Linked DNA regions of Kluyveromyces lactis. The protein of the gene in region 2 purifies or fractionates together with the protein of the main gene of each other region. This does not show direct contact. Links are inferred from orthologs where the notes say so. Each region holds a gene or a part of one and is shown on either strand. Other genes may lie near its edges.

Region 1 (2,448 bases), about 670 kb from region 2:
CCAGTTCTACAGGTTGCAACCGTTGCTACATTGGAATCTCTCACAGATATGGAGTTTCCTATTGTATTCGGGAGAAGAAGTATGCGGATTATATGAGATGGGATTCACTTCATTGGGCAGTGTAAACAACACATTGAGAAATCCATACCTACGGATACCAGAACCTATAGGCTCCATGACAAAGGCCGAGACTGAACATAGCGATTTCCAATGGGAAATTGAAAACAATTACAGAGGAGATTCTAACATGCATTGTAACGAAATTAACGAGAATGACCTTAATACCATCAAACAGCATGATTCATCTGAGTTCCATCCGGGATGGTATCTAACGAAAGACGAGTGGGAAAGAGCTGGCAGACTCGCCAGAAAAGTTTGAGATGAATCCACTCACAAATAGCTACAAAAATCTCTATCATATTTAATAAATCGTGAATTCCTTGATTTTAGATGATATATGTAATATTAGAAAATGGTATTATGTACAAGTGATAACGAAGGGGGAGAAAGTCTGTCTGCTTCTTTCTAATCATGAGATTTTCCACCAACTCTATCGTACAATCTAGCAGCATGATAGTTGATATTACTCTTCTGGACTTTTTGGTTCTTACCTAAGGCATTTTCCGCGGTACATGCCTTCAAATCTTGGGCCAATGTCTCACATGCACCGTACATGTGTCCGTTAGAAGACCAGCATTGTAATAGATTGGACATCAATACCAAGCATCTGTTAGCCTCTTGTTGAATAATTGGCTTTTTCACCTTAAGTCTGGGAAGAGGTGGTAATTTATAAAGAGGAGTCTTACTGGACATGCTTTAATATATGAACACTTGATATCTTGGACGTACCCTTCGCAACACGACCTTACAAGACCTCTAGAACGGACTACGCGACTACATTTATGATATTTTCCATCATATAAACGATATCATTCTTTATGATCTTAACAAAATTTTTGAGACTTTCGCCAATGTTGGATCTAAGTATGCGGTGTACGGGTTAAATTTTTCACTTGGGCCTGCCCTGGAAATGATGAGCTGCCGCGACAGAGGGAGAGAGAGCATATGGGTATAAAATAAGAGCTATAGACTATACTGTTGCTTAATTGGCAAGTACGTATACCGCTGATGTTCAGTATTTGGAAAGATCAGGCATGCTTAGGATTTCACGATCCTTGTTCTTACTGAACTCTTGCAATTGTTTTAGAATATTGGAGTTCTTCCATCTGTCAGGAAGAGGTGTAATGGAATAGTTTTCTGTGGCCCAGTAGTAGATATCCCAATCTAGTTCGTTCAACAACTGGTCGTACTCTTCTAGTTGTTCTGGGGTCATTTCCTTTAAATACTTAGCAGCAAAACGTGACAAAAGTAAGTCTGTTTCCAGAATACCTCTCTTTCTGGACTGATAAATTAATCTAGCACGCTTCTTGTCTAGAGACTCGCCGGTTCTCTTGATAGGTGGGATTCTGATTCTCACCGTGACATCGTCATCTTGGCCCTCAGCACCGTTGCTGTTGCCCTTGTTCAACAAGTAAGCATTTGCGTGAAGAGAACGGCATTGCTTTGTAATCGAGTTAACTCCAGATTTCAACACTGATGGTTTGTTGAAGACAGTTCTTAGCATTATTAGATGACAGTGGTCGTTTGTTGACTGGACAGGTAGGGATAGTATAGAGGAGGGTATACTAGATATATGTAATACAAATTAGGACCTCTTCCTAACCTGGGGTAACGGAGGAGAGAGATCAACCAATTCAAATTGTGATTCAATTAATATTATATATAGCAAGACGGGTAAAAAGGTGCCGTAATCGGTTCGGTCACGTGTACATGGACCTAGAACTCCACAGCTTTGCAACGTCGCTATAGGAGGAGACCTTATACTTGGCTCACACTGGGTAAGGTCAGTGAGAGACAGGTAGCCTTTGTGACAGGTGTGTCTAGTACGCTGGGAAGATTACTTCACCAGTTAGGCACGTGATCTGTTCATCGTCGACGTTGTAAGCTCTAGCAATGACAGAGTATTTGCCAGGTGGCACCTCGCTAGGGATCTCCACGATCTTGTTCAACTCGTAGACACCTTCCTCGATTGGACATTTCAATCCGTCGATGTCGTTCTCCTCCAATTGTTCACACAAATCGTAGGTTTGTGAGATTAACTTGATGTAACCTAATCTAACTTCGATGTCGATGTATGCACCTTCTTCGATAGTGGTTTGTAGGACACCTGCAGCAGCTATAGTCAAATTCTCACCTCTTTGTGGTGGGTTGGGGACCAAGTTTACTTGAGTAACATCAAGCGATTGAGATTGGTCAACATCACATTGCAATAAAGGAGAGTCACCAGGGATCGGTTTGTTCGCTGATGGTGGTTCTGGGAAACTTAATCCGAATAAAGAAGCTGCATTAGCGTACGATGCAGCAGCGCATAATAAGTAACTGGTTACA
Region 2 (2,771 bases):
AGAGAGTTGAGTTTATCACTTCATTTAGAAATTGTGTAGAGTGTATGCAACTCTTATTGAGAGTTTTTATGAAAATTGATAAATGATAAGATATAAATACGCAGTAACATTTTTCTCGAGTGTATGTTTTGTTGTCTTCCTCGGATTAACTACTGATGCCAGGTTAAAGCTAATAACATCAACTCATGATAAGCTCGCCCATTGCATAGTATTTTGCATTGAAACCGTTCTGTTTACCATGATGTTTGAATGTGATACCGTACAGTTGCCGGCATTCATCCCCAAAAGACTACGATCAAGGAATTTGGCTGCGTACGAACCTTTTTCCATGAACAAATATCTATTGGCATTTATTGTATGCTGCGTATGTGCCAGTACGAGCAGTGAATTTGCACAACAGTTCCTCTCACGAGGAAAAAGGTCCTTTGATGTAAACGATATTTTGGCCAATTTTTCGGGAAGTCTGCTGGGCCTAGGAATTGCATATAAGATAGAGCAACAAATTCAGCATAACTATGAAAATCGATAACGTTCATTTATATTTCACGTATACATATGTACAGGTTTATTCAAGTAAATACAGTGGAGGTTGGAACTTTGATCATTTTAGGTTAATGTAAGCTCTGTGTGCAATAGCAGTCTTATGAATAGAGTCTCTCTTTTCGAAACCTGAACTATTACCGTTGAAGACAGATACCAATTCTTCACCAAGTCTTACTGAGAAATCGCTCGATGATCTCTTCACAGAACTTTCCACAATCCATTTCCAAGCTAATCTAAACCTTTGTCTTTGATTCAATGGAACTGGAACCACAGTGGCCTTTGCGACACCAGTCTTGAAGGTCTTGATAACCATAAGAGGCGCCAACACATCCAAGGATTCTTTCAAAACTTTTACCGGGTCTTTCCTTGTTTGACAGAACACAATATATAACGCTCTTGAAAGAATCTTCTCAGCTCTTTCTCTTTTCCCGTGTCTCATAATCATATTCGTTACATGCTGTAAAACTGGATCCTGTTTTTTTGGAATGGGAACTTGCTTCAACGTTTCCCATTCATTTATTTGCTCTTGACTTGGCTCAAAGCTGGGCTTGTTCAATTCCATAGCCTTCTCCAAGATATTAATTCTAGATTGGTTACCTGGTGCAAGGGACGTAGCTGGGTTATAATCTTGTTGCGAAAACTCTTCTTCTAACGATCCAATAACTTTCAACCATTCATCAACCTGTTCGTCGCTAAGGCTAGCTAATTTCTCCCCTGTAGACGCATTATTATTCACAGATTGACTTTGGAATCTGGTTTGCATGGTCGGTATACTGGCAGCATGTACAAGTGGACTTCTTGCCAAAACGTTAGCATGGACGTGACTCAGACTAAACCTTCCTGCTCTCAACATACTGTACAATTTCCGTTGAATAGATGCCAGTGTACACAAGGACCACACAAGGACACACACAATACAACCAGAACCTATTCAATCTAAGAGTAACTCTCATTAGATCCAAATTCAAGCTTACTTCACCAGAATATGATGATATTGAATTTGGTTTGAAAATCGTAAATTTTTTTGATCAAAGGTTCAGAGATGAGCCAGTGTGAACAGTGTTACCCGCATAAATACACGTGACTACTAATGATCTGTTTCTATGTGCCGTTGGTAGTTTTGCCTGTCAGTGCATTGAGCACAAGCTTGCCAAGAATAATTAATGATATTATATAGACTGTACCTTATTAGACACCTTAGCCTTTAATATTATAGTAAAGATGTCGTTGATCTATTTTGTATTCAGGTATGTAACTATAGTATCTTTAGAACTTCCGTACTTAAGTGTTAAAATTCCTGCCGTTCTTAAGTGAAATCCTTTAAATAATATCACATTTCGTTACGTGAAAAGTTGGTGAAATTTGTTATATGCGCACAATATTATGTGAAATGATAAATAAAAGAAATTTGTTCAAATAACATGTAGGTTTCTAAGCTACAAAGATAGAACGGTCAATCAACAGACTAGAGAACGAACTTTATAAGGCTGCTGGCTGAGCTGGGATTGGCTAACCGTGTACTGTCTATTGGGACTAGGTGTTACAAGTCCGTTGTTTCATATTATTTTCCGAGACTATCCTTTTTATCTATTCTATATCTGCCAGTTTGGAATAAAAAAGGCATCGCTCATACTGGACTTATTTGTGCTAATTAGAATACCCCGAGAACACCGATCTTTCGTTAGTGCCATTTCAAGGAGATCTAACCAAGTGTAATATTACTATACCGTAGAATTTTTTTTTTTTTGCCAGCCTTTCCTACTATCAGCTCATTAATCAGATACATTGTCAATATGATGGGAATAAAATCCAGACATCTATACGACCGTTTGACTAAAATAGTTATCGATAAAGATCTAAGCGCGTTTAACGAAATATCGCCTTCGCAATTGATCCCACAGCTATCTGAACATTTCAGCATAACGATACCGAAGGAGATCTTCAATTATAACGAGGACCAAGAGGAAGACCTTTTACACAGATTGAAAGAGCTATCGAGGTACCTTGTTGTGAAATTTGCAAAAAGAGATAAGTATCCGTTCACGATTCAACGGATATGCGAATTATCTTACCATCCATTACAATATTTCCCTGTGCACAGTTTGCAAAAGTTTGTGTCGGCCATGGAGAAATGTTGCTTGGTGAATACTGATTGGACACCCAGGCTGGGCAAAGAGTGTCCAAACACAAACCCAATGGAAGATGTTTCTCTGATACCTATTGAGTGG

What was found. The genes of interacting proteins can lie anywhere in the genome.
Region 1: the proteins of RSM7 (region 2) and MRP10 purify together in Saccharomyces cerevisiae (affinity purification with mass spectrometry; 3 studies listed by BioGRID). This does not show direct contact. The link is inferred for Kluyveromyces lactis from reciprocal best matches to the Saccharomyces cerevisiae genes RSM7 and MRP10.

Annotation. Positions count from the first base shown.
Region 1 is NC_006041.1:1,177,815-1,180,262, reverse strand, and holds MRP10 (mitochondrial 37S ribosomal protein mS37), read right to left. Parts: upstream 814-2,448; coding exon 526-813; downstream 1-525. Other genes in the region: FAD1 (FMN adenylyltransferase), read left to right, coding at 1-379; succinate dehydrogenase assembly factor SDH5, read right to left, coding at 1,133-1,624; NPC2 (sterol transporter), read right to left, coding at 1,941-2,448. UniProt on the Saccharomyces cerevisiae protein: Component of the mitochondrial ribosome (mitoribosome), a dedicated translation machinery responsible for the synthesis of mitochondrial genome-encoded proteins, including at least some of the essential transmembrane subunits of the mitochondrial respiratory chain.
Region 2 is NC_006041.1:512,110-514,880, reverse strand, and holds RSM7 (mitochondrial 37S ribosomal protein uS7m), read right to left. Parts: upstream 1,397-2,771; coding exon 602-1,396; downstream 1-601. Other genes in the region: KLLA0_E05765g (uncharacterized protein), read left to right, coding at 83-529; PSY4 (Psy4p), read left to right, coding at 2,337-2,771.